4 separate regions of the Mus musculus genome follow, and regions 1, 2 and 3 are each reported to be linked to region 4. Evidence: microRNA targets listed by miRTarBase, many of them from high-throughput screens and not tested one by one. Region 4 holds a microRNA gene; each other region holds the end of a gene's coding sequence.
The links. Region 4 holds the annotated microRNA mmu-miR-5125 (UCUGCCUGGGAUUUCCUUGU, at 5,345-5,364, shown strand). A microRNA usually pairs through its seed, bases 2 to 8, with sites in the 3' UTR of a target mRNA and lowers its output. Matches are read on the target gene's strand: a 7mer-m8 pairs with bases 2 to 8, a 7mer-A1 pairs with bases 2 to 7 and ends in A, and an 8mer does both.

Region 1: the mRNA of Abcd2 is a reported target of mmu-miR-5125. Seed matches in the 3' UTR shown: 7mer-A1 at 1,734-1,740.
Region 2: miRTarBase lists Dnlz as a target of mmu-miR-5125. Seed matches in the 3' UTR shown: 8mer at 1,884-1,891.
Region 3: miRTarBase lists Rangap1 as a target of mmu-miR-5125. Seed matches in the 3' UTR shown: 8mer at 5,865-5,872.

What each region holds. Positions count from the first base shown.
Region 1 is chr15:91,142,499-91,149,615 of GRCm38, reverse strand. It overlaps Abcd2 (ATP-binding cassette, sub-family D (ALD), member 2), which reads left to right. Exons shown (of 10, transcript NM_011994.3): 10 at 411-3,745. The coding sequence ends at 630. Among named protein-coding and RNA genes, the nearest start is that of Abcd2, 46 kb to the left of the region's middle.
Region 2 is chr2:26,344,674-26,351,790 of GRCm38, reverse strand. Dnlz (DNL-type zinc finger) reads left to right here. Exons shown (of 3, transcript NM_026828.3): 1 at 1-18; 2 at 317-456; 3 at 1,233-3,673. The coding sequence ends at 1,386. It overlaps Gpsm1 (G-protein signalling modulator 1 (AGS3-like, C. elegans)), which reads right to left. Exons shown (of 14, transcript NM_153410.5): 12 at 7,033-7,117; 13 at 6,432-6,640; 14 at 3,554-4,984. The coding sequence ends at 4,778. Among named protein-coding and RNA genes, the nearest start is that of Dnlz, 3.9 kb to the left of the region's middle.
Region 3 is chr15:81,698,830-81,705,946 of GRCm38, forward strand. Rangap1 (RAN GTPase activating protein 1) reads right to left here. Exons shown (of 16, transcript NM_001146174.1): 14 at 6,831-6,919; 15 at 6,624-6,745; 16 at 5,419-6,429. The coding sequence ends at 6,360. Among named protein-coding and RNA genes, the nearest start is that of Chadl, 5.1 kb to the left of the region's middle.
Region 4 is chr17:23,817,995-23,825,091 of GRCm38, forward strand. It overlaps Mir5125 (microRNA 5125), which reads left to right and starts at 5,297; the gene lies at 5,297-5,375. Srrm2 (serine/arginine repetitive matrix 2) reads left to right here. Exons shown (of 15, transcript NM_001368687.1): 11 at 1-3,696; 12 at 4,419-4,706; 13 at 5,797-5,910; 14 at 6,022-6,126; 15 at 6,222-6,747. The coding sequence ends at 6,231. Elob (elongin B) reads right to left here. Exons shown (of 4, transcript NM_026305.2): 4 at 6,746-6,985. The coding sequence ends at 6,873.

The DNA of each region.
Region 1 (7,117 bases), not on the chromosome of region 4:
TTTTGTGTTTTCTTTGTTTTCTTTAGTTTTTTTTCGATATGATCTTTAAAAGTTTACTCTTTCCCCAATTCCCTTTCCTTACTTCTCTTCTAACTATGCTTCGTTATTTATTCAGAACACATATTTCTTCAGAAGATATTATGAGGGTAAATTAATACAAGAATAATCTTCCTTTGTAAATTATATGTACTCAAAATATGAAAGAAAAATTCAGGAACATCAAGAAGAATTTCTTAGAGATGAAAGACTTTAGACTTTAGCAATTCCACTGTTTATCTGAGATAACATTAGAAATAAAATGTAAAATAGCCACATCCACTAAAATTTGTCTCTGAACATCAGCTAGAAAGCTCTATAATGGAAACGGCTTTTAGGATTATGACTGATTACACTTTGTTTTAATCACACAGGAAATACCACACTCATCTATTACAATTCGATGGCGAAGGAGGCTGGCGCTTTGAACAGTTGGACACTGCTATCCGTTTAACGTTGAGTGAGGAAAAGCAAAAGTTGGAGTCGCAGCTCGCTGGAATTCCCAAAATGCAACAGAGACTCAACGAACTATGCAAAATTCTGGGGGAAGACTCGGTGCTGAAAACAATCCAAACTGCAGAAAAGACATCCTAATTTATCTTGACATGTTTTCAGTTACCTTCTAGGTGAAGCCTCAGAGACTCTCTCTTTACTGCATGCAGTATGTTAAGCTAAGTGCAGAGAAAGCAAGCCGGCAAAAAAAAAGTATTTTGTATGATTTTAGCATCGAGGAAATATATGAAGACTTTTCAAACAAACAAACAAAAAAAGCAAACAAATTAGTTGAGATTAGTCATGACTTCAGTTAGTGCCCAGTGAAAAGCTAACTCACCTGTAAAGCAGGACTTTCTAGGACTAGGAGAAAGTGGCCTGAGGTTCTTCATGTAGGAGAATGCCCCAAAACAAAGCAGCAAAGGCACCAGGAGGACTGATGTCAGCTGTGCAGAATTAGGACTTTGAGGGTTCTTTCAGCCCAGTTAACAAGGACAATAGGTGCAACACCTGGAATCCATAATCAGCATTGCTAGGGGCCAAGTCAAACTGTGTACAAAATAACAGGCGTTTTGATACATAATTTCAGTCTGAAAAAAAAGTGCATTTTAATGACAGTGGTTGAAAAGAAGCATGGCTGGACAAGTATAAAGTACTGTATTTAAATTTTTCATACTTTCAGCATCTTGATACAGATACCAAAAATTAACACGAATAAAAAGTGTATTTGCTTAAAAACAAGCCCTTTTGTTTTTTAAAAAGAGAATTACCCATACGGAAGAGGAGGATCCTAACAATGCTTGTTCTGGCTGTTGCTTGACTCTGCAGTGCTATCTGGTACAATTTCTACCCAGAAATATTGCTTGTTTTGTGCCCACAAAAAAGCATTTTAGAAACTTGATTGCTGTCCTAAGTTTCCTTGATCCTGGAAATCACAGTTATGTTCTTATACTCTGCCTTTGAAGCAATCTTTTAAGGCATACAAGTTTTTTGTTCCTTTTTCTTCTGAGAAAAAAGACACTCAGATTTACTTTAGTCACATGATTTATTTGGAAAGAGCTGTAGAGATCAATAGAGGTCTTGTGACCCCCTGATTCAGTGCTTTCATCACTACTGACCCTTAAATTTAACTGGGATATAATGTCAATTTAAAAATTATGTGAGCCAAGCAGTGGTGGCGCACACCTTTAATCCCAGCACTCAGGAGGCAGAGGCAGGCGGATTTCTGAGTTCGAGACCAGTCTGGTCTACAAAGTGAGTTCCAGGACAGCCAGGGCTACACAGAGAAACCCTGTCTCGGGAAAAATAAAATTATGTGGGCCAGGTAAATGTCTAGAAATGGAATTGTAGGCAAAGCAGGGCATAAGGAAAAAATTTAAGTAGATGAATAAATATTTTTAAGGCATGGAGGAATGGCAGTTGCTTCTCTTGCAGGGGTCCCGAGTTCTATTGCCAGCATCACATGGTGGCTCAGAACTGTGTCTAATTCCAGTTCCAGGGAATCTGACACCCTCTTCTGGACTTCAGGAGCCCTGCATGCATGAAGTCCTCATACATACATGCAGACAAAACATTCTTAACATTAAAAAGTCAATAAATCTGAAAGATAGTAAGGATATTGAAATTGGCAATGTTGATGTTATTATCACTTATTACTGTTTGCAAGAAATAAAAACAAGTCGCAAATGCAATGGTCATCAGTCTTTGACTTAAAATCAATCAAGAACGACATCACACCACAGCCTATGTATATCCACCCAATGCTGAAGTGTCTGCAGTATCGGCACTCAGAAGGGCAGTGAATTGAAGCTTCATACTACTGAACATGACGAGAGAAAACCCTATATGAGTACGTCATATGAAATAGAGCTCATCTGAAGTACAGAGCCATAACTGATGCTTTAATCTCATCCTCTCTCAGGCTATGGTGAGGTATGTAAAAACCTGAGATGAATAGTTCTAGGGGCATAAGATTTTGTTTATGTATTTAGGCAGCACTTTAGCCGACGCTAACTTGCAATAGACTGTTTGGAAGACAGACTACCTGGAAGTCACTCACAGTGATTGTTGTAAGAAATTACCACATTTCCACATTTTAAATTCCCCAAATTGTATGTAATTTGAGTTACCAATAAATGTACCCACCTTACATGAAGCAATACAATATGAGGTCCCAGTCAGTACTTTTTAATTTGTCTGTTACTACTACTTCTTACTAAAAATGTGGGGGAAGAATTAAATATTTTGTTTAGTAAAAGTATAGAACCAGAAATTGACACTTGATTTTTTTAAAAAAACAATTCACTAATCTTTAACAACCATGTTAGCAGCTACCCAGGTTATTTGATAAAGGGGAAACATTTGAAGCAAATGTCTTACATTAGCTCTGAAAGGCACAAGAGGAAAATTCAAAGTTCACATTTGAAATTATGCTTTTTCACAACTTAAAATTAAACCACGTAAGACATGATATCTTACATTTTTAAGCTTTGCAAAGGATGCCAACATCAAAACTAGATTTGTAATTAGACCTTATTTAATAGATTTTTACCAATGAGCTGAGGTGAAATAAATAAAACTCATTACACAGTGGTTTAAAGATGTCTGAAATTCTATACTTAAAATCTAGTCGTGAAATTTAAATGGTAAAGGTTTCAGGACAAACTATCTGTTTTCCAGTAGCTTTTTGGTGACTACTGATTTTCTGAATTACTTTTTCTGAGACCAAATACCCTCTGTCTTAGAGGGAGAATGTGATGTGAATTTGTGTTGTGTACAATCCGACTCTTTCCAAACTGGCCCCACAGGAGACCGGAGCTGATATTCTCACAGGCATCCTTGTGAGAACATAAAGACCACTGAGAAATATCTTCTATGACTAGGACAAAGAATAACAAGGAAAATGAAGTATAGCTCCGGCTATCAAACTACTTATCTTTTCCTTAGAAAAGGCGTACATTTGTGGAGCTTGATTACTTTGGGGGGATAGCTCATAACCTGCATTGTGACATCCTATTTCTGCAGCATGCTGTGGTATGCCAAGCATGAGTCTGACGCCGTGTTCACCCTAAAATCCTCTTGAATCACAAGGCTGACGATCTTACTTGAAAACCAACCCGATTTACCCTATGTTTACACAGGAAGGGTTTTCCCTTCGATAGTTAATTTGACTTTTGTCCCAAATTTTGGTGTGTCAATAAAAGTAAAAACAAATGTATTGGTTTTTTTTTTCCTTCGGGGCATTAATTCCAAGTAGAAGCGTGTATTTGTGAGAGATGTAGCTTATCTCCATGTTTGGAATAGGTCTTTGACTGTGTAAGCCAAAAGAGCTTGTTATACATTGGAACCCTGAGGAAGTTATGCGCTTTAAGACATGATAAATGCGGCAACAGATATTAAATTATTTGTTTAAAGAGATGCCTCTGATATAATTACTCAGTGAGCACAATGTCCCTGGTTGAGCCTAGAGTGCTTTCCCCACACCCGGTACATCACGGAGCTGCTGCTCCAGGTATAGAGACTGAGAGTCTGCATGTGATCTTTAAATATTGCCACGTGAAAGTTTGCAGGTGGATGTATGTTTTTAAAATCATAAACACATATCCCCCTTCACTTCTGTTGAGTTTTCGTACTGCCTGGTGCAAAGGGATCTCACCATTTAAGGCAGAAACTTCAGAAGCAATTGTCCTCCAGTCAGCTTGAGCTGTGCTGATGAAGGAGAACACGAGAAATGTTTTAGTGGTGAGCATTACTATAAAGCTGGAGGAGAATACATGATGGTCCTCTCTGCAGTCCATGTGCCAGGACTTGAAGTTCTTAGGTTTGGATGTTTGGTTCCTTGTTGGCGTCAGTATTGGAAGGATTGGGAGGCGGAGCCTCGTTAGAGGAGGCGTCTCACTGGGGGCGGGCTTAAAGGTTGAAAAAGCCCACACACCAGGCCTAGTCTCATCTGATAAGACCTCTAAATCCTTACTCGCTGCTCCAGCTCCTGCTTTCCTGCCTACCTGATGCCATGCTTCCCCCGTGATGATTACAGACTCGTCTCCGAAACTGTAAGCAACCCCCTAATCAAACACTTCCATTTATGAGTTTACCTTGGCCCTGGTGTCTTCTCGCAGCAATAGAAAAGTAACTAGGACAAGATTCATGACGAATTCTTTAATCACCATGAAAAATCAGTTTTTCAGAGGAGTTACAAGTTACCTCAGTGATGTCAAGGGCCTTATTTCTGTATTAAGAGTAACTGTTGGGTTGGTGACTACATATACCTTAGTTACACACTGTGTGCTGGTGCCTCACACATGGTTCTATCATTTAGGCAGAGGCAGGAGAATCACCATAAATCTGAGGACATCCTGGGTTCTGATGTGTTTATATAAAGCTAAGGGGGGTTGGAGAGATATGTTCTATGGAGGTGTGGTGAGGGATGGAGGAAGCGGGTGCCTCGGCGGGCCCATGCTGAGACATCCCTTCCCCCTGAGGGAACAATCACATGATGACTGTATAGTGTAGAATAGAGTTTATTCAGGACATGGGGAGGGAAGTTAAGAGAGAGAGAGAGACAGAGAGAGAGACAGAGAGAGAGAGAGAGAGAGAATAGAGGAGTAGAGGCTGGCCATGAGCACATGGAGAGAGGGGGGAAGGGAATGGGGAAGGGGCAAGGGGACAGGGTAAGAAGACAGCGGGAGCAAGAAGGCAAGAGACCAAGAAGGCAGAGGGAGGAGGGAGCAAGCAACTCCTTTTATAATGGGTCAGGCCTACCTGGCAACAGCCAGGTAACTGTGGGGTGGAGCATACCTTGCTGTTGTCAGGTATCTGTGGGGTAGAGTTTAGACAGAGTGCTAACAGGCTCCACAATAGGACCTTGGCTAGCCAGGGCTACAGGGTAAGATCCTATCTCAAAAACAAAACAAAACAAAACTGCATAACATTTCCCAAATAGTTTTTAAATAATAATTTTCCATTAAATATCACGCCAGGTACGGTGCTGAGCTCTAGGAATGAATATGACCTCATTTCTAAGCTTAAAGCCTACTACATCTGAAAAACAGAGATTATTGATCAGAAGGAAGTTGGTAACTGTGGTTTACTAAGGAGGTGCAAAGCACTGCCTACACAGATAATAATTCATTAAATTGCATAAACTAAACTCTAAGAACAGAGAGAGAAAGGCTGAGGAGTTCATGCCGCTTAACGTGGCATCTGAGCTGCTCTACCAAAGTTCAATGCTAGCAGCACATGATGGGCAAGTCTATGCATCTCTCTGTCTCTCTTTAGGTGTTTTAGAGCTGTGGGAAATTTGTGTAACATACCATAATTTTAATATTTTATTGTATGTTATGTATGTAGTTCTATGGAAAGGGAAATGACACGAGGCAACTTTTAAAATGTTCTAAAGAATTAATCTCCCAACCAGTTATAACTTATTGACTGGAAAGATGGTTCAGCTGTTGAGAGCACTGGCTGCTGTTCCAGAAGACACAGTTCAATTTCTAATACTCCTGCAGCAAGTCCTAACAGCCTGAAACTCCAGTTCTAAGAGTCCAACGTCCTCTCTCCTCACCTGCAAGGGCACCAGGCACATGAGTGGTGAACAGACTAACATGAAGGCAAATTGCCCATGCATGCACATAAAAATAATAAAGTAAAATAAAAATTCTTATTGACACTTTCAAGGTACCAGCTATTATGCTAGTGATGCAGAGACAAACAAGACAGACACTGCCCCGACACTATGTTTGAAACACATCTACTTTGGTAGATGTGCTAAACAACTGCAAACTAGTTCATGCTATAGATGCTATAGTTACATATAAGTGATGTATTTGGTTTGTAGTTATCTGTATGTCCTGCTCAGACCACTCTGTTATAACTAGTAAGCAATAAATGTATTCTCAAAGCAAGTTCCTTTGATTACACTGAGAATCATGTGACCTACTTTGCCAGTAGGAGCTCTAACACATTTAGCATGTCATCTCAAAAGAAAATCTATGAAATTATTTTAAGTTCAGAACATCTACAAGGGATCAATTTTGTACAATCCAGAATATATACTTTACATCAACAATATATACATATACATATACATATACATATACATATACATATACATATACATATACATATACATATACATATACAGCTACAATGTGGGAACTCGGAAATGCACAAGCAGTAATTACAAAAGCAAATAGGCTACGATCCCAGCACTGAGAGGCACAGGCAAAGGGTCACTGAAAGTTAAAGGCTGCCTGGGCTACATAGTACGTTTCAAGCAGTGTTTTCTAGCCTGACCCTGTCTCTGCAACAACAACAAACAACAACAACAGAAACAAAAGACTTCCAAAGTTAAACACATTTCAAATCACTTGAAAAATCTCAGTAACTAATACACAATATAATTGATATGGTGTGTGCTAGTTTGAATAAGCATAGCCCCAGAGATTCATATATTTGAAAGCTTAGTCATCAGGGAGTGGCATTATTTCAGAAGGATTAGGAGGTGTGGCCTTGTTAGAGGAAGTGTGTCACTTCCTTAAAACTTTGGGGTTTCAAAGGCCCAAGCCAGGCCCAGTATCTCTCTCTTCCT
Region 2 (7,117 bases), not on the chromosome of region 4:
CTCGTCTACACCTGCAAGGTGGGCGCTGTCGGCAACACCTGGTGCTGGCTGGTTTCCTGTTGGTGTAGGGTCCTGGCAGAAACGTGGAAGTATCCTTCGGACCAGGGAGGAGGCGGAGTCTTTACAAATGGCTGGGTGGGAATGAGGCACAGGGCCTTCTAGGTTGGGTTATCAGGAGACAGGCGTCTAGAAATGACGCCGTCGCCTAGGTGGGATCATCAGAGAAAGGGTTGAGGCTGTCCCTCGGGATGGAGTTAGACCTTGGGAGAGACTTTCCTGTGTATGCCTTGCCTGACCACCTCTCTAACCCAGCTAGGTCTGTGGGACTCGGTCATCCAAGCGCATCTCAAAGTTGGCCTATCACCAGGGCGTGGTCATCGTGACTTGCCCTGGTTGCCAGAACCACCACATCATCGCAGACAACCTAAGCTGGTTCTCTGACCTGAAGGGGAAGAGGTGAGGCCAGCTGGGAGGGGTAGGAGACAGTAAGATTGTGGCCCTGTGTGAGCCTGGATCCATTGCCTGGATCTCTCTACCTGGACAGCCCAGCTTCCACGTGGACCTGGAAGCAGTTGAATTTGAACTTCAGATGAACCATGAATGGCCCCAAATATGGCAAACTAGTTCTATGGCTCTACCTCTGTCACTGCCTGACCTCTGATCTCGCCAGGGGCCTTATCAATCTCTAGTGGAGGCTTTTTGTCCTCTGCCAACTCAGGGCAGATGGAAGGGTATGTGTCAGATTATGGACTGGGGCAGCCTTCAGTGGTGTTCCCACTTTTGGGAGAGCAGTGGGGAGGGCCAGGAGTCAGTTTGGAGGCTGTGCCTGATGCCTTCTTAATGTTCTATGAGGAGGGATCAGTGGCAGGAGTAAGGGCAGAGCCACAGAGGAGATAGCCTGTGATAAGTGTGCAGGCCTTGGGTCTCTAGGGTTCGCCTCTTAGACCTGGACTGCAGAGAAATCTCAGCTCTGATATGTAGGGACAAGACTGAAATGCAGGGATGGGTGTTACCTGGTGAGAGGCAGGGCCACGGCCCTTGGTGGTACACTGTACGAGAGAGATGGCTTCTGAGGACTTGTTAACAGATACATTTGGTGAAGGTGCCATTAGGTGCCTGCAAGGTACTGGTGTCACTTGGATGCTGGGACAAGTGTTCCAGGCCCAAGATGACCATGGGATGCCCTTGAGGGAGCCCAGAGTAAGGCTGATGCTGCTCTTACTGTCTTGCAGGAATATTGAAGAGATCCTAGCAGCCAGAGGAGAGGAGGTACGCCGAGTGTCTGGTGACGGTGCCCTGGAACTGATTCTGGAGGCTGCTGTACCCCCTGACACCCCAGAAGGGGATGAGGATCCCCCCAACCCTGGCAAGATGGGACAGAGCTGATCTGCATACTCCTACAGCTGCAGACTCCAGTCTTCCCAAAAGTCGCTCCCTTCACTTGGAGCCTCACAAGCCTGCTGCTGTTCCTTGTCAGTAAAAAGCCATCACCTCCAGGCACCGGGCCTGGGCTCCTGTTTTTCTCTTGTGAAGTCAGAACAACTCTGTGGCTGTAGGAGCCCAGCCTCATGCCCACCCATGATAGCCACAGTGGTGGCTTCGGGGGTGGCTTTGTCCCAGTGCAGTCGGTCTCCTTCTTAAGTAGGGCTGGATCTGGTCTTGAGTTAGGCTCGTGGCCTCAGGTGGTTTTTTGTTCCTCAGAGCTCTTTACTTCTTCCTTCTATATGACCTGCCTCCACCCCCACCCCACCCCCAGCCCTGGTGGCTTCTGTTGTTGAGCTAGTGTCCAGCCCAGCCCTGAGGTTTGGTTTCTGTAGCAGAACTGGCTGCTCTGGGTGGCCGCCGAGGAGCAGAGCGCTGCTCAGAGGCTTAGGGGAGTGATCCAGGCAGAGGCACACCACACACACACACACACACACACACACACACACACACCACACCACCCATGAGCTGCCTGCACCTCTCAATCCTCCTGTCTTGAGGTCCAAGAGGAGATGCATGGAAGTGATGAGGGCCGTATCATGCTTGCCTTGTGTGTGCTTCATCTCCTAACTTGGTTTGACATGCCTTTGGGATAGTCTTGTGTTTAGGAAGTCAAGCAGATGCACAAACAGGCTTTTTGTGGGAGTTTCTGGGCCCTGTGACCTTCAACATCTGGCAGGGGGGATCCTGGGACAGGGGGTGGAGAAGGCAGTTGACACGGACACAATGCTTCCCTGGCTCCTGGGACCCCAGCTAGTGATTAGCAGTTCACTCTGGGCCCTGGGAGGCCGGGTGCACTTGCAGTCTGTGCCTTCCCTCGATTACCCCCTGTCCTTCCCTCAGCAAACACCCTGCTATTATCCCCACCCTAGCCTCCTGTGCCATTTGTACAAACTGTCACATCCTGGAGGAAGAGCCAGCCTCCGACTCCAGCCTGCTCCCTGTGGAGGACACCGAGGTCAGAGGAGCCGATTGCCTTGCTTGTGGGCCTTCAAGTCAGGAACCAGTGGAGCCTGGCTGGGCTGCCTCGTCCTCAGGTGTCTGGGCCAGAGTTGTCGGAGGCCTGGGGCTGGCTAGACCTGACAGTACAGAGCTGGATCTAGCGTATCTCCTCTAGATGGGAAGCCCATGATTTGGACTTACCTCCTGTGTGTGTGTGCCTTCTGCCTGTTGCTGCTCCAGAGCCTCCTTCCCAGGGAGGGTCTCCTGTGCATCAGGATTTCACTTGAAGCTTCACTTTCCACATAGTCCATTCTTGCAGAGTCCATACCTCACCGTGTTCTGCAGACTCACCACGGGCCACAGTTCCCAATCATGTGGCCAGGTTCCTGACAGCCTGGAATTGTTCTGACTAGTTTAGTTCTCCATTCCTTCCTCCCTTTCAGTGGAGACTAAGTAAAGTACCACCCCAACATCACAGCACCTCTTGGCCAGACCAGCGTGACTCCTGTGGGGTGGCTTGGCTCTCTCAATACATCCCCTTCCCATGGCAGCCATCTCTGGCAGCTGGCCTCCCGGCACCTGAGCAATTTCAGCCTGCCCAGAAGCGTGGCTGCCTCTAGAGCAACCACAGTGCTCTAGACGATAGAGAATTCTCTAGGCTATTTTACTGGTCTTAGCTATGTTCTGCTACCCTTGGCCCATCAGGACACTCCCCAAAGGGCCCAATCAGGATCTGAGTTACATGGGGTGCTGCCCACTACATGAACATTGAAGACAAGTTCCTCTGTGGCTTAGATTGGCATAATCCAGCGCTTGTAATGGGAACTGCTAAGACATAGGAAGCTCTGGGGCTGGGTCCAATCCAGTCGGGGGCGGGGAGGCTGCTTGGAAGGGCTAGTCCTGAGTGTTTACCAATGTACTGTGACATCCCTGGCTTCTGTTTCCTGTCTCTGGAAAGTCAGCATAATGGAGAACAGCAGAGAAAGCAGCAGTAGCGGCTCTGGCCCCGCCTCTCACTGTCGCATGCAGCAGAGACATGCTGCATGATCTCAGGGGCCTTGTACACTGCACTGGGTAAGCCAATACCATGTCCTGGGAAGGCTGACACAAATTCCAACAGAAGCCACACTCACTTGGCAGACTTTTATTTTTGGGTAAAACAAAACAAATGTACCTCTCGGGTCAGAAAGGACCCATGAACAACATGGCAAACACATGTAAGCAATAAATACGCATGTACATTCAAGTATGCGGGGCGGCCACCATGTCCCGCCCGAGACCCTGTGCTCTAGTATCTGTTTCTGCTCTCAGAGTGATGTTGCCTCTCCCTCTCAGAAGTTGGGTCCTCAGTTTCCCTTGCCCTGGCCCTCTGGGTAAGAGGCCCTGGGTTAGACAGTTGTACAGAGCCCTCCAGTAGGGCTACCTATAGGACTTGTAGGCAAGAACTAGGACCACGGTCCCGAAGGGTCTGTCTCATGGATGCCCCGGCAGTTCTGGCTGAGTCTCCACCCCAACTACAGTGCCCTGTGTCCAATTAAGATATGGACCCCTCCTTGGGGAGAAAGCCAAGATATCATCTCCCTAGTAATAGAAGGTAGATGCTCACTAAGAGGACTGAAGGATCTAGTTGAGAGGATCCCTCATGAACGTCCACTACCAGCCAGAGCTCAGCACTCCTAGTACAAGACCCTATGCTTGGAGACCTGCCTCTCCCCTCTGCCAGGGGCAAGCTCCATCTTTCCTCAAAGGCCAAGTGCAAGGCTGGGGACTACCAGGTCAGGGTGTCTGGACTTTGTAGCTGCCAATCTCCCTCAGCAGGGTTGGGCACAGCCAGGCCAGGATAGTGCCTGCCCTGGGGTCGTGAGGCAGATCAGAGTGTACCTCCTTCATAGCCATCCCAGGACCAGCTGGGGGACAGAAGATGCCTTAGCACTGTAGCCCCCACCAGAAGAAGTCCTTGAAGCCCCTCTGGGGGCCTTGGGAGAGTTGGCAGAGTTTCACATTTGGCAGGGCAGGGCTTGAGGGAAAAGACTCTGGACAGCACCGGGGCTCGGGGCCAACATGCTGAAGGCCCGGCCTAGGGCAGGGCAGGGCAGGCCTGCAGGAAGCTGTGGAGATCCATGGGGACAGAAGCATGCCCTCCCCCATATAGCAGCTCTAGCCTGCACCCACCACCTGGGATGGGGGGGCCTTGTGCACCCACCATCTGGCTCAGTGGGAAGGGGCTGGGGCTGAGCTGGCTGTCCATCATGGCCTTGGGAAGATTTGGCTTATTGGGGGATCATGGCCACTGTGGACAACCGTGAGCCTACAGAGTCCAGAGTAGGGTATGGCTGGCTGTAGGGGCGAGGCCTTAGCTGGCACCCGGTGGACACTGCTGCTGGGGATCAGGCAGCCCACTGGCCTCTTGCTCTGGACTCCCAGCAAGGTCCACACGCTGCTCATCCATCCGCTTAGCCTGCACCCTCTGGATAAGGCTGAAGAAATCCTCATCAGGCATGGTAGGGCCACGGGGCAGCACATCAGGGGGTGGGCAGCGCTGGTCATCAATCCTGGAGGACTGGGCAGACACACAATGGAGGTTGGTGGTCTTGTATTTCTTGGGTCTTTAGAGGGCCTATGGACCTATCCTGGCACTGGGAAGGTGATGGGCTTATTGGAAATCTGAAGACAGCAAACACTGGCTTGGGAAGAATGATGTAATCCAAGTGGGACCTATTTCAGCCACCTCCTGCCCCTGGCTCTGGGGTAATGCTAAAAGCTTTGCCTTGGCAGCATCGCCTGATGACTTACTCGGAGCTGTGGCTGGCCAACCAAATAAAAAAGGCTAGGTCGTATATTCTGGTCATAGAACAAGTCAGCAGCCACTGGGCCCAACTCTGGGACTTGTTGATCCAGATACTAGACCCCTAGAACTACCCTGAACCCTGGCACTGCCCTGGACTGCCCTGGAGGGCCTGGGGGCTGCAGCTCAGAGCTTGTTGCTTAGAAATTAGCATCACTACTTTACAACCCCAACCCCACCAAGGGTTGCCTTTGGATCAACAGCTGACACCACAGGCTCTGCCTGTTCTGATGTGGAGGTTGAGGGGCCTGAAAAGTGTTGGCTTCTCTTCAGGGCCTGGAGCAGATGGGAGTGGAGCCGGTGCAGCTGATGGCCCAGGTATTTGAGTGGGCAAGGCTTCTCAGGAGGGGCTGGCTTAGAGGAGGCTGTCTGGACGATTCTGTGGTTCTGTCTCCTCTGTGAGAATGAACATTGATCTGGAAACTTAGCCTGATACACAGGCAGAATGCTGACCCTGCTTACTCCCCACCATGTACCTGCTCCTGCTGGAGGGCAGCTAGCCAGCAGGATAAACGTACCACCCACCCCCTTTGCTGCCAGGCCTTGGTAGGTGGCTCAGCTCGCAGCACCCCAGCCTCACCCAATCCCATACAGTGGAACCCATCCATGGGTAGCTCTGCCCTGGTTCTGTGTTCCCAGGCCTAGGCTCTCCATCTCACCTGTCAGCCCATGCTGTGTGGTCTTCTTCAGGACCGTTTCTGCTCCCATTCCTACAGCCAGCACTAACATCCCAGATCTCCCTCCCTCTGTCCCTCCCTCTGTCCCTCCTTCCCTCCCTCTCTCCCTCCCTCACAACTCCAAGGTGCCACTTGACACTCAGTTTTCTCTGCCCAGATGTGGAAGCCTGTAACAGACATCCTGGATTTGGGGACCTGGCAGCCCCAAGCTGAACTCCGGCCCCAGAGTATGCTGAGACTTATTTCAGGAGGTCCTTGGCCCCTTGGCAGAAGGAGGGCTTCAAGCCTGCGCATCTGAGGATGGTCCCTCACTCTGGCTGTACTTGTTACTATGCGTCTTCCTCAGGTATCCCTCAGATGAGGCCAGAGACAGCAAAGACAGGGCTTGCTGTGGTCCAGCTAGGTGTCTTCTGCAGCTGGCAGAGGACCACCACTAGGCGGGCCTGCATGAAGCTCCACCCATTGCCTTCTGAGGGCAGACCCACCTGGTATTTGATAAGCATGTTGAAAAACTCATCCCCCGGCTCCTGGGCGTCCCCGTCGCCTCGGAGGTGCCCCACATTGTTGAGGGTGATGCGTAGCCCAGGCAGGCTGCCTACGCTAGCCCTCTGGTCGTCCAGCCGGCGGCTCTGGGAGCTGGCAATGAGGTCAAAGAACTCCTCTGTCTGTGGTGAAGCTGTCACGGAGGACTGAGCTGTAAGGGCAGAAAGTGAGAGCTGGAGAGGGGGCCATTGGTGGTGCTGGCATCTGGGACTGGCCCAGTCTTCCCCACAGAATATGGCCCTAATAAATCTCCGATGCTTGCCTCTAACCATCTTGCCCCTGCCCTGCCTCCCACCCCTGCCTCCCAGGACTTTGACAGGAGAAAGCTTTGGCCTCCCACACACTCAAAGGCTGGGATGCATAGACACTTCGTGTTCTTCAGGGTGGGGTAATTACATACTTCCCAGGATGCAGCTTCAGGGACAAGTGTGGAGGGAGCTCTGGATGACAGAGGCCCTTTGCAGCCAGCCTAGCCTGCTTGTTGGGGGGCTCCCAGACATAGTGCTGGGTCTGGCTGGTGGACCTCACCCAGACTGTACTCACCTGCTCTATCCTCCACGGATGGGGCAGCTGTGGCCTCAGCAGCCCCAGCCTGGCCTTCCTCCAGGGGACAGCGCTGGTCATCCAT
Region 3 (7,117 bases), not on the chromosome of region 4:
GTGCTGGGACAAAAGGTATGTGCCATCACCACTGAGATACGTAGTTGGTTGGTTGGTTTATTTATTTATTTAGGTTTTTGAGACAGGGTTTCTCTGTATAGCCTTGGCTGTCCTGGAACTCACTCTGTAGACCAGGCTGGTCTTGAACTCAGAAATCTGCCTGTCTCTGCCTCCCAAGTGCTGGGATTAAGGGCGTGCGCCACCACTGCCCAGCATGCCTGGGTGTATTTTAAGAATGTCTCACATAGCCCAGGCTAGCCTTCAATACACTGTAGCCAAGGAGTACTCAGAACACAAGATCCTCATCCTTTGACTCACAACGACTGGGATAAAAGGTGTATGCCTATCTCAAGGCCAGGGGGCAGGGATGTAAAAAACTAAGCCTTTCCTATTGCTACAAAATATCCAATGTATGGATGAATATACCACAAACATACTAAATGTAAGTGAGCTTAACTACTCATCTCCTCCACCTCCGTTTTATATCCAACGGAAGTCCCGTCGGCTCTGTGGCAGAGGACCTCCCTTGTATGAGCGGCTTTGCTTTGTTCAGCTTAGTCCTCTGGCGGATGCGACACTGGGTTGCTTCTACCTCTTGATTCTAGCCTGAGAATAGATCTAAAGAACTAGTGCACAGTGTTCATTTGTATCTTTGCTTTCATTTCTATGGAGTATAAGCCGGTAGTACAGCTGTTGATGAAGGGCAATCCTACGGCAATTCATTAGAATAGCTTAAAATTCATTTCTCTTGAAAAGTACGTGTGCTCTCTGGTCCAAACAATGAGTGCCATTCCATTCTTCTCTCTTCCGCTTCCTCCTCCTCCTCTTCTCCTTCTTCCTCTTCTTCCTCTTCTTCCTCCTCTTCCTTTTTTTCCTCCTCCTCCTCCTCTTCTCCTCCTTCCTCCTCCTCCTCTCTTTTCAGATGGCATCTCTATTTCATAAGCTGGCTTTAAATTCCAGAGCTCAAATCCAGGCAGTGATAGATAGCACACACCTTTACCACAGTACTCAGGAGGCAGAGACAGGAGGGTCTCTGAGTTCAAGGCCAAGCCTGGTCTACAGAGTACTACAGGGCTACACAGAGAAACCCTATTTCAAAATTATGTGTGTGGGTATGTGCATGAATGTAGGTACCCAGGGAGTTCAGAAGAGGGCACTGGATTCTCTGGAGCTAGAGTTACAGGAAGTTGTGAGTTACCTGACATGGGTGCTAGTAATGGAACTCAGGTCCTCTGTTAGAGCAGTATGCGCTTTTATTTTCTGTTTGAGAAAGGGTTTCTTCTTTGTGTAGCCCTGGCTGTCCTGGATTCACTTTGTAGACCAGGCTGGCCTTGAACTGGATATCTGCCTCCCAAAGTGTGGGGATTAAAGGTATGCACCACTTGTAAGTGGACATCTTTGTCTTGTAAAGTTTTGCCTCCTGCCCCCCCACCCCCCAGATGAAATCTTACTCTGAACACTGCAGTCTAGGCTGTTCTCAAACTCACAGCAATCTTTCTGCCTCACTCCCCAACCATGTGGATCACCACACCCAAGCAGTTCCGTTTTCTCCTTTAGGGTGTGAGCTGTGGGCCTTCTCTGGCTTTTACAACAGTAAGGTAATTTCATACCTTTCCTCGCTTGAGTATATGCAGATCAAGTGCATTCATGCAGCCATGGAGGGCAGAAGAGTGAGTTGAACCCTCTGAAATTTGACTTAAAGGCTATTGTGAGCTCCTAGGTGGGTTCTGAACCTATGCCCTCTGCAAGAGCAGTATCTATGCTTAACTTCTGAGCCCTCTCCCTAGCCCCAAATCATGTTTTTGTTTTGTTGTAAGGTTTTGAGCTGTAGGAGGCACAGAGATTTCACAGATCAGCATTAGAACAACTCTTGGGTTGTTCCTTCAAAGGAAAGGATGCTTAACCTTTTACCCACCCAGAAGGCTGGTTAATAGCCGGGTGACCTTTACACTTATCTGTGTGGCCAAGATCACGTGGGATCCTCCCCCAGACCGGTGTGAGCTTGTTTTTCTCAGCCTCTAGAACCGATCTTCTGAACGTGTCCGTGTACTTTACAGATTGTTGTCATTAAGTGTGCCTAAAATAAACTCCCCCAAAGTTTGAATCGATAGCTACTTGGTTGTGTTGAAGCAAACTGCCTTCTTGCCTCTTGCAGATTGTTCCTCTGCGGAATGGCCACAGGGGCGCTGGGAACTGAACTCGGCTTCTCTGTAAGGGTAACAAGTGTGGCTATTAACCATTTAGCCATCTCTCCAAAAGTGCATTTTTTTAAAAAATAGTTTTCAAGACCTGGTTTCTTTGTGAAGCCCTAACTGCCCTGAGTGTCCTGGAACTCTCTCTGTAGACCAGGCTGGCCTTGAACTCTCAGATCCACCTGCTTCTGTATCCTGAGTGCTGGGATTAAAGGTGTGAGCTAGCATAGCTAGGTTCATACATACATATATATATATATGTATATATATTTAGATTTATTTATTCATTATATGTAAGTACACTGTAGCTGTCTTCAGACACTCGAGAAGAGTGAGTCAGATCTCGTTATGGATGGTTGTGAGCCATCGTGTGGTTGCTGGGATTTGAACTCAGTACCTTTGGAAGAGTTAAGAGTCAGTGCTCTTAAATGCTAAGCCATCTCTCCAGCCCATATGTTTTTTTAAATTTTACATGTTTTTTAAAGATTTATTTATTATGTATACAATGTTCTGCCTGCATGTATGCCTACGCACCAGAAGAGGGCACCAGACCTCATTATAGATGGTTGTGAGCCACCACGTGGTTGCTGGGAATTGAACTCAGGACCTTTGGAAAAGCAGCCAGTGCTCTTAACCCCTGAGCCATCTCTCCAGCCCTGTTTTTTTTTTTTTTAAGATTTATTTTATGTATGAGTATACCATTGCTGTCTTCAGACACACCAGAAGAGGGCACTAGATTCCATTACAGATGGTTGTGAGCCACCATGTGTTTGCTGGGAATTAAACTCAGAACCTCTAGAAGAGCAGTCAGTGCTCTTAATCACTGAGCCATCTCTCTAGCCCTCCCATCTTTTTTTTTTTTTTTAAGTATTTTTATGGATGAATACACTGTAGCTGTCTTCTCAGACACAGCATTAGAGGGCATCAGATATTATTATAGATGGTTGTAAGCCACCATGTGGTTGCTGGGATTTGAACTCAGGATCTTCAGAAGAGCAGTCAGTGCTCTTAACGCCCCCCGCCCCCCATATTCCTATATGCAATCTGTTACCTTTTTATTTGAAAGTAGGTGTACCTGTGTGCTATAGTCCATGAATGCTGACTACCTCAGAGGCCAGATATTAGATCCTTTGATCTTCTGGAGCTACCATGTGTGGGTGCTGGGAACTGAACTCAGGGCCCTCTGCAAGAGCAGTATATAAACTTAACCATCTTTTAGTCCTTGTTTTGTTTTTTAGTCTTAAAGGCCGCCCTGCCTGGCCTGGAGTTGAACCATGCAAACCAGGCTAGGCTGGCCGTGAGCCTAGGCAAGCTTCCTGCCTTCCACATGTGCCTTTGAGACAAAATATCACCATGTAGCTCGGTACCAGCTTTTCTTCTTTAGCTTTATGTACTTTTAAGTGTATGAATGTTTCGCATGCATGGGTACCCGTGCAACATGTGTGTGCCTGGTCGCTGCAGAGGTCAAAGGGCTTCGGATCCCCTAGGACTAGAATTGTGAAATGCCATGCGGGTGCCCAGAAACACACCGGATCCTTTGTGGGAACAGCAAATGCTTTGAACCACTGAGCCTACACTGCAGCCCTGACTTCAAACCTCAGCTGTTTCTGCTCCAGCTTTGTGGTTATTAGAATGCTGTGAACTATCCTGCATCTCCAAGCCTTACCTTGGTCATACTCTATGATCCTTCCAGCTTTTATTTTTTGAGTTTTTGAGATAGGGTCTCATGTAGCCCAGAACTCAATATGCAACTGAGAGAACTTTGTAAACTCGGATCCTTCTGCCTCCACTTGTGTGCAGTGTGTTTACGCCCAGGCTTCATGCATGTTAGGCAAGCACTGACTGACATCTTTGTTCCCTTTTGGACTTTTGTCTTGCTTCTTTTCCCCAGACAGGGTTTTCCTGTGTAAACCTAGACTGTCCTGGGACTTGATCTTTAGACCAGGCTGGCCAAAACTGCCTGCCTCTGCATCACCACCACCGCCCGGTTCATCTTGTAATGTGAAATGCTTACAGGGTATGTATGTGTATAGGAGTGTGCACAGCCGCAGTCTATCTGTGGAGATTAGAACATAAAGAGCAGGAGCACCCCTCCCACTACATGGGCCTCAGGGACTGGATTCTGGTTGTTGCGCTTAGAGATAAATGACCTCACCTGCTGAGCATCTCCCCAGCCCCTCAATTTTATGTGTGTACACTGCTAATATCTTTTTCATACTTCATGTGGTGGTGGCACACGCCTTTAATCCCAGCACTTGAAAGGCAGGGGCAGGTGGATGTCTGAATTAGAGGGCAGCATGGTCTGCAGTTTCAGTACAGCCGAGGCTATACAGAGAAACTCTATCCTGAGAAACAAAACTAGCAGCTTTGTGACTGTAGAGATGGATTAGTGGTTAAGAGCACTGATAGCTTTTCCAGAGGACCTGGGTTCAAACCCCAGTATCTACATGGTGGCTCATAACTCTAATCCCAAGATCTGATACCCTCACATAAGCACACATGTAGCCAAGATAACAATGCACAGGACAAAATTTATTGCCCTTGCTGTTCAGTTCCCAGGACCCACATGGCTACTCACAATAGCCTATAGCTCTAGCTTCAGGGGCTTCAACTCTCTGGAACTGGAGTTATGGATAGTTAATAAGTAAACTACCATGTGAGTGTTGGGAACTTAACTGAATATTTCAGAGCAGCAAGTGTGCTCAACCATTATAAATATAAAATTACATGGGAGGAGAATCAGCCTCATGTCACCTACTGGAAAGGTAAGCAGGCCTCTCACCCCTTCTTCTCTGTCCCATGCCATCCTGCTGGCTTCCCATCTGAACCTCAAGACGTTTTAGAGTCTTCAGTACTTGGTTTCCCTCCCCACTGCCCCATTGTCCACACATTGTGACAGTACTGTGAAGTCTCCAGGCTAGAGTTCAAGTGCACGTTCATAGAACTTGGCTTAACCAGCTTAGCACTGCAGCTCACAGGGAGATGCTTGCCCACACCATCCAGAGCAGAGGCAGCACTGAGGGCCCAGGTGGAGACATTGGCTGCCCCTCTGACTGAGGCGGGACCCCGCCCGCCCTAGGGTCTCCATCCCTATGACACACTTGGTGTGCACACACATGGTCCTTCCACTCTGCACATGGCTCATGAGATGTGAGCTCAGGTCCTCCTGTTTGCTCGCTCTGTCCTAAGCTGGGTCGTCCCCGCTTTTGATGAAAGAAGCTTCCGGGCCTCTGCAACTACACAGATGACGTTTATTTGTGAAGCTCCCAGGCACAGCCCAGACACACAACACAACGGGAAGTAGGAGGTGGCCAAGCAGCCACTTCGGGAAGTCACAGAGCATCTCTTACCCGGCTCCATCCCTATTACACACTCCTGTCTTAGAAAACCCTCAGAGAGTAGGCCCAACATGTGGTTCAGGCATTAGGGGACCTGCCCTTCCCTCCCCAGGAGAAGAACAGGGCTGGGCCAGCCAAGGTGCTTTTTCCACCTGGTCCTAGAGCCAGGTTACCCCAGACAGCTCCCACTCCCCTGGCTGCTCCTCCAAGTCACATGGTTAAGGGCAGAGGTTTTTTTTTTTTTGTTTTTGTTTTTTTGAGACAGGGTTCCTCTGTATAGACCTGGCTGTCCTGGAACTCACTTTGTAGACCAGGCTGGCCTCAAACTCAGAATTCTGCCTGCCTCTGTCTCCTGAGTGCTGGGATTAAAGGCATGTGCCACCACGCCCGGCTGAGTTTTACTTTCTAATGATAGCCCATCTCTGATAGCCTCTGTTATTTAGGCACGGTGGACACAGCACACAGAATTCCCCAGGCTTTGGTGGGACAGGAAGGCAGGGCAGACAGGACAGCCAACGGGGCCTATGGCTAAGTTGGCCTAAGTTTAATAACAAAGCAGCTTTCTACCCTTCCCCTAGGCATCAATTCCCCACAGTGGACTTGGGTTAGTCCAGCAGGGAGATGAAGATCTGCAATCCAGACAGGAAGTACATACCCACACACACACACCAAACCAACACAGTATCAAAGGACCAATATGACACAGGAGACAAGACCCTCTCCCTTCCTCTGGTCAAAATATCCAATGGAGATGCTGGCCGAGCTCAGTCCATCCAAGACCCTCAGTCACTGGGGCAGGGCGAGGGACAAGAAGCAGCTGCCTTTAAATCTAGATGTTGTATAGCGTCTGCAGCAGATTGTGGCGGGCAAAGGAGCAGGTTTCCAGCGCGCCATTGGGCCTGTGAAGAAGACAGCTCAGTGAGTTGCAAGGACACCTTAGGATCCCGAAAGCTCTGTTGTCAGAAAGGTCCACTTTCTGGTGGGGGTGGGGTGTCCTCCGGCCTCTGCAGGGGGCTGGCCTGGGACTCTTGGGACTGACCCCACCCACGAGCCTTAGCTCAGGCAGATGGGAACACAAGGCCTCGATACTTACTTTGTCACAAATGCCAAGAGCAGGGGTGCAAGGGCCTTGGGGAAATAGTCCTGCCTCACCACGTGGTTCAACACCATCAGGGGGCCATGCAGGCTGGGTATGGCCTTGATCTTGTCTTCACTCTGCAAATAAGGGGGGGAAGCTCCAAGGTCACCTGGGAGCCCTGCTTCCTCCCTCAGTGACCCACAGAGCGGGGCAAAGCCTCACCTTGAGCAGACCCATGTGGATGAGCAGCCTGGTAAGGAAGGTGTTGGAATTGAAAGAGGAGCAGCTGAAGGCCTTCTTCATGAGGGCATCTACGGGGCACAAACAGAGTGTGGTAGTAAGCAGGCAGGAGAGGTTTAGATATACGGGTGTCCGGAGCCCCCGACTCTGGCCCTGTCAAGAGGTAGAAACTGAAGGGGGTGCAGGTACAGCTGACTGGGGTCAGAATAAGGGAACCAAGGGAAGACTCAGTTTACCAGCTGGAACACCTTCCCCACCCAGCCTCCTAT
Region 4 (7,097 bases):
AAATACTGGCTTTTCTCCTGAGGTTAAAGAAGAATTGAATGGATCATTCCTTAATCAAACAGAGGCAGATCCATCTGTGGACATGAAAGAACAGTCAAGGTCTTCCAGGCGAAGCAGTTCTGAGTTATCCCCAGAAGTAGTGGAAAAGGTAGGATTATTTTCAAGTCAGAAAGTATCTTCGCCTGTACTTGAGACTGTACAACAAAGAACACCTTCAAGAGAAAGAAGTAGTTCTGCATCTCCTGAACTGAAAGATGGTTTGCCTAGAACGCCATCTAGGAGAAGCCGGTCTGGGTCTTCTCCAGGACTTAGAGATGGGTCTGGGACTCCTTCTAGGCATAGCCTATCTGGGTCCTCTCCTGGGATGAAAGATACACCTCAAACCCCCTCCAGGGGACGAAGTGAATGTGACTCTTCTCCAGAACCAAAAGCATTGCCTCAGACTCCTAGAGCCCGAAGTCATTCTCCATCATCCCCAGAGCGCAACAACAAGAGTGTCACCCCTCAGAGAGAAAGAAGTGGGTCAGAATCATCAGTAGAACAGAAAAATCTGGCTAGGACCTCTCCGGGACAAAGAAGTCGATCTGGGTCTTCCCAAGAGCTTGATGGAAAGCCCAGCGCGTCCCCACAGGAAAGAAGTGAGTCAGACTCTTCTCCAGATTCCAAACCCAAGACTCGGACTCCTCTCAGACAGAGGAGTCACTCTGGATCATCTCCAGAGGTTGACAGCAAATCTCGACACTCACCCAGGCTCAGTAGGTCTGGCTCATCTCCGGAAATGAAAGATAAGCCAAGAGTGCTACAGAGGGCTCAGAGTGGTACTGATTCTTCTCCTGAACACAAGATACCTGCTCCTCGGGCCCTGCCCAGGCATAGTAGATCAGGTTCATCAAGCAAAGAGAGAGGTCCTTCCCCTGAAGGAAGCAGTAGTTCTGAGTCTTCTCCAGAACACGCCCCCAAATCCAGAACTGCTCGAAGAGGTTCCAGGTCCTCAATAGAGCCAAAGACAAAGTCTCACACACCACCTCGACGCCGGAGCTCTCGATCATCTCCTGAGCTAACCAGGAAGGCTAGAGTCTCTCGTAGAAGCCGGTCTGCCTCCTCATCACCAGAAATCCGCTCCAGAACTCCACCAAGACGCAGAAGAAGTCCTTCAGTATCTTCACCAGAGCCAACTGAAAAGTCAAGGTCTTCACGGAGGAGGCGCTCAGTTTCTTCTCCCCGTACCAAGACAACTTCGAGGAGAGGACGGTCTCCTTCACCCAAACCTCGTGGACTCCAAAGATCCCGATCCCGCTCACGGAGAGAGAAAACCAGAACAACCCGACGCAGAGATAGATCTGGATCATCTCAGTCAACATCTCGAAGAAGACAGAGGAGCCGGTCTAGATCACGAGTTACTCGGAGACGGAGGGGTGGCTCTGGTTACCATTCAAGATCACCTACCAGACAGGAGAGTTCTCGAACCTCCTCTAGACGCAGAAGAGGCCGCTCCCGGACACCCTTGACCAGTCGGAAGCGATCTCGATCAAGAACATCACCAGCTCCTTGGAAGCGCTCTAGATCTCGAGCCTCACCAGCTACTCATCGGCGGTCCAGGTCCAGAACACCACTGATAAGCCGACGTAGGTCCAGATCTCGGACCTCACCTGTGAGTAGGAGACGGTCAAGGTCAGTGAATAGGCGTAGATCTCGATCAAGAGCATCCCCAGTGAGTCGAAGGCGATCCAGGTCCAGAACACCACCAGTAACTCGTCGTCGTTCAAGATCCAGAACACCAACTCGCCGTCGTTCTCGTTCTAGGACTCCTCCAGTGACTCGCAGAAGGTCCAGATCCAGGACTCCACCAGTAACCAGGAGGCGATCTAGAAGCAGAACTTCACCTGTTACTAGAAGAAGATCAAGATCCAGGACATCCCCAGTCACCCGGAGAAGATCGAGATCTCGAACATCTCCAGTCACCCGGAGGCGGTCCCGTTCCCGAACCTCTCCAGTGACAAGACGACGCTCCAGGTCTCGAACTCCGCCAGCAATTCGAAGACGATCTAGGTCTCGGACACCACTGTTGCCACGCAAGCGCTCTCGAAGCCGCTCACCACTTGCTATCCGCCGCCGTTCTAGGTCTCGTACTCCTAGGGCAGCTCGAGGCAAGCGGTCCTTAACAAGATCTCCTCCAGCCATTCGTAGGCGGTCTGCATCTGGAAGTAGTTCTGATCGTTCACGTTCTGCCACTCCTCCAGCAACAAGGAATCATTCTGGATCTCGGACACCTCCTGTAGCACTCAGTAGCTCTAGAATGAGTTGCTTTAGCCGTCCTAGCATGTCACCAACTCCTCTTGACCGATGTAGATCACCTGGAATGCTTGAACCCCTTGGAAGCGCTAGAACGCCCATGTCTGTGCTACAGCAAACAGGTGGCTCCATGATGGATGGTCCAGGTCCTCGGATTCCTGATCACCCAAGATCATCTGTTCCAGAAAACCATGCTCAGTCTAGAATTGCACTTGCCTTGACAGCCATCAGTCTTGGTACTGCCCGGCCACCTCCATCCATGTCTGCTGCTGGCCTTGCTGCAAGAATGTCCCAGGTTCCAGCACCTGTACCTCTCATGAGCCTTAGAACAGCCCCAGCTGCTAACCTTGCCAGCAGGATTCCAGCAGCATCTGCAGCAGCTATGAACCTTGCTAGTGCCAGGACATCTGCTATTCCGGCATCTGTGAACCTTGCTGACTCAAGAACACCAGCTGCTGCTGCAGCTATGAACTTAGCCAGCCCTAGAACAGCAGTGGCTCCTTCAGCTGTGAACCTTGCAGATCCTCGAACCCCTGCAGCTTCAGCTGTGAACCTAGCAGGAGCTAGAACACCAGCTGCATTAGCAGCTTTGAGTCTCACAGGCTCTGGGACACCTCCAACTGCTGCAAATTACCCCTCCAGTTCCAGAACACCCCAGGCTCCAACCCCCGCAAACCTGGTGGTGGGTCCTCGATCTGCGCATGGCACAGCTCCTGTGAATATTGCTGGCTCTAGAACCCCTGCAGGCTTGGCTCCCACAAATCTCTCCAGTTCCAGGATGGCTCCAGCATTGTCTGGTGCAAACCTCACCAGTCCCAGGGTGCCCCTTTCTGCTTATGATCGTGTTAGTGGCAGAACCTCACCTTTAATGCTTGATCGAGCCAGGTCCAGAACACCACCATCTGCCCCAAGCCAGTCTAGAATGACCTCTGAGCGTGAGCGGGCTCCTTCCCCTGCTTCAAGAATGGTTCAGGCTTCTTCGCAATCTCTTCTCCCTCCTGCACAGGATCGGCCTCGGTCCCCTGTGCCATCTGCTTTTTCAGACCAATCTCGTTCAGTTGTCCAGACCACTCCTGTAGCAGGGTCTCAGTCCCTTTCATCCGGGACAGTAGCGAAGTCCACATCCTCTGCTAGTGACCACAATGGCATGCTTTCTGGCCCTGCCCCTGGGATATCCCATGCTGAAGGTGGGGAGCCACCTGCCTCTACTGGGGCCCAGCAGCCTTCTACATTGGCTGCTCTGCAACCAGCTAAGGAACGTCGGAGCTCTTCCTCCTCTTCATCATCATCTAGCTCCTCCTCCTCTTCATCATCTTCATCGTCATCCTCCTCTTCCTCTGGCTCCAGTTCTAGTGATTCAGAGGGTTCCAGCCTTCCAGCTCAACCTGAGGTGGCACTGAAAAGGTGAGGCAATTAAGGGATCTAGGGAGCAGGGACTTAACAATGGGTGGGTGAGTAGGGAGGGAGAAATCTTGTCAAAAGCACTTGGCTTTGAGAAAGTATGGGGGACCTTGGCCTTCAAGCTGGGAGTAGAAAGAATGTTGGGCGGGGGCTTTGTGGGGAGGAATGGGACAGATAAAAGTCTCCAAAGGTTAATTCTCCAGAGGATAATGATAAGTTTTCCATCTCTACAGAGGACAGAACTAGAGGAAATGGACTTAATTTTACAGCAGGAGGGATGGCAGTTAGACCTCAAGAGGAACTCCCTGGGCTGGAAGGATCTTCAGAGGTCATCCCATCCCTCTCCCTGCCTCCAGGCAGGACGGCCCCTCCCCAGCCAACCTGCACTCACAGGGGCCTCCCCAAGCTGCGGCTCTCCAAGGAAGGAGATCACCCAGCTTCAGCTTCCACATCTGAGTCCAGGGGCCTTAATCCTTCATCAGGGACATTCTTGAGGTTTAACCTTGATCCCTTGTGCTTCGGGCCCCAGCCTGTTGCTTGTGTTAGCAGAGGTTTGGTCAGCTCTGTGCCACTGCTCCAGAGAAGTACTACTCACTGGCCTGCCTTCGTGTTTTCCCAGGGCTTTTCTCAGGCACCCCTCCCCCACTGCCGTTCCTCCAGGCCAAGGAAGGTAGGGTTGGGGTTGGGGCATCTTGTCTCCTTGTGACACCTTTCTTCTCTCACAGGGTTCCCAGCCCCACCCCAGTCCCAAAGGAGGCTATTAGAGAGGGACGTCCTCAGGAACCAACCCCGGCCAAAAGGAAGAGGCGCTCTAGCAGCTCCAGTTCCAGCTCCTCCTCCTCCTCCTCTTCCTCTTCTTCCTCTTCCTCCTCCTCCTCATCTTCCTCCTCCTCTTCTTCCTCTTCTTCCTCCTCTTCTTCCTCCTCTTCCTCCTCCCCCTCCCCTGCTAAGCCTGGCCCTCAGGCATTACCCAAACCTGCAAGCCCCAAGAAGCCACCCCCTGGCGAGAGGAGGTGAGTGCTTTCTTGCCTGTTGTGGAAGGGGGGTTGGGGTGAGTTCTCCAGAAAGGGGACCCTGGGTGAGGTTCCTGCTGGGGTGCCTCGTGTGGACGTCTGTGACTGGTTGTACGGGAGAAGGAGTGCCGGACTCCTCCCATCCTCCCACAGTGTTGTATTCTGGTCAAGGGCTGCACTATCTAACTGAGGTGTCCCAGGCCATATCTGGGAAGTCATAGGATTCTTCCTCCCTCTCCCCTCCCCTGACAAGCAGCCTGGTCTCAGAGATCTAGCTCTAAGTCTCCCCATTGCTGCTGCAGGGCTCTGGTCTGGCCACCGTCATCTTCTCCCGACTCTGTCCACAGCCTCCTCCCTGTCTCCCTGCCTCCACGCCATTCTCTTCCACACGTAGCCAGAGGGATCTTTCTAAAACGCACATCTGGTTACTTCCCTTCACTCCACAAATCCTTCCGGAACGCCCTGTGGCCTGCAGGATAAAGTGCCACCTCTGCGGGAATGGCGTGTGAGGCTCTTCACCAGCTGCCCTTGCCCGCCCTGTGCTCCTCCTGCCCGCCCCCACACATGCCCCGTGCTCCGGCCATACCCAGCGCCTTGCAGTCTAAGGAGAGCCCCATGCCTTTGGACATGCTGTTCCTTCTGCCTGGGATTTCCTTGTCTGCCTGGTGAACTCGTTCTGCAAGACTGCATTCAAACAGCACCTCCGAGAAGACTGCCCTGCCATTTCCCTGTCCTGCCCAGGTCCCCATCCTTTCTCTGGATCCCCAGGCCCATGCATATCCATCCTGCTGGGCTGTTTCCTATGTAGGGGGCGTGTGTGCCTTCATTGTTAACCTTTACTACCAAACAAAATTCTTCCAAGGGCAGGGACTCTTTTATCTTTGCATCCCCCGCTGCACCCTGTGCCCTGTCCACTGGGGTACTCGGTGGATGGTGTGCGGGCGGATGGGTGAGTGCGGACAAAGGTGGGTCTGAGGCTGGCCCTGTGTGGTGTGAGGTTTGGTGGTCAGGACCTGGGTGGGTGGTCCTGAATGCTTGGCTGGTGGGTTTGGGAGGATGTGGAGCTATAGAGGCCTACTCTGCTTCCTAGGTCTCGAAGTCCTCGGAAGCCAATAGACTCCCTTCGGGATTCCCGATCCCTCAGTTACTCACCCGTTGAGCGTCGACAGCCCTCGCCCCAACCTTCACCAAGGGATCTACAGAGGTAGGGCCTATAGCAGGTGCTAGCAACCTGACTCAACTAGCTACCATTAATTTGTAAGCAAAATTTAAAAGTTTTTGGTATTGTTCTGTGACCTAATTTCTCCTCTTGTAGCAGTGAGCGAGTTTCCTGGAGAGGCCAGCGAGGGGACAGTCACTCTCCTGGTCACAAGAGGAAGGAGACACCTAGTCCCCGTTCTAATCGTCACCGCTCCTCCAGGTGTGTCTCCTTGGAAGTCTGGCCCTTCTGAGAGCTAGTAGTTAGGGATAGGGATATGTGTGGTGACCCAGAATGACCAGTCTTCTCTATTCCAGGTCTCCATAATCTGGATTCCACTACACCTCATACTCTGGAGACATGAGTATTCCTCATTTTTCCCAGAAGAATCATGGAAGGAGTCTTTGTATGCCTTCCCTTGAACCTTGGCAGCATCTTGAGGGGAGAGCGTCCTCTCCCACCCACCCTTTTTTTTTTTTTTTTTTTTTTTGGTTCCTGTGAAATGTTGATCTCTGTGAGTTTTTCCTGGTTCTTGTGTTTTGGGGGTTGGAGTGGGAGGGAGGGAGTCTAGGGAGGGAGGGGCACAGCTCAGGACATCTAGGCCTCAGATTGTGATGATCCAGGGAGTTAGCTCCCTAAATTCTTGGGTGACTGATGGTTTAACTTGGTAAGTTGTAATCTTTCCTGAAAGAGGAAGGAGCTGAAGTTGGTTGGCCCTGCTGCACCCCCTTACAAGGTTGTGAGGCCCTCTCCCCCCCAACTTTGTTTAAGGCATTTTGGTTTTTTAAAATCTGTACAGTAAAAGCAACTTTTTCTGTCAAATAAAAATGAGAAATGCAGTAATTGGTCTGTAGTCTTTACTTGGGGTTAAGAGTTCTGTGAACAAGAGGGAACAGAAAAGTCAATCAGGTAGACAGCCAAATTTTTTTTATTGGGGAAATGGGTCTCTAGGGGGTAGGCCTAGGCCCTCACTGCACAGCTTGTTCATTGGCACTGCCTCCAGAATCCTGTGGCTTCATCACATCTGGAAGCTCTGGAGGGCTGGAAAAGGGCTCGATGCGGAGAGCTTCGAAGGTGTCATCTGGGGAAGGGGTATAGAAGATTCTCAGCGTTTCCATTCATTGACTTGTATCAACCATCAAGGCCATAACCCTCCCCACCTTGGTTGCCTGACTTGGCAATGGTATGATGAC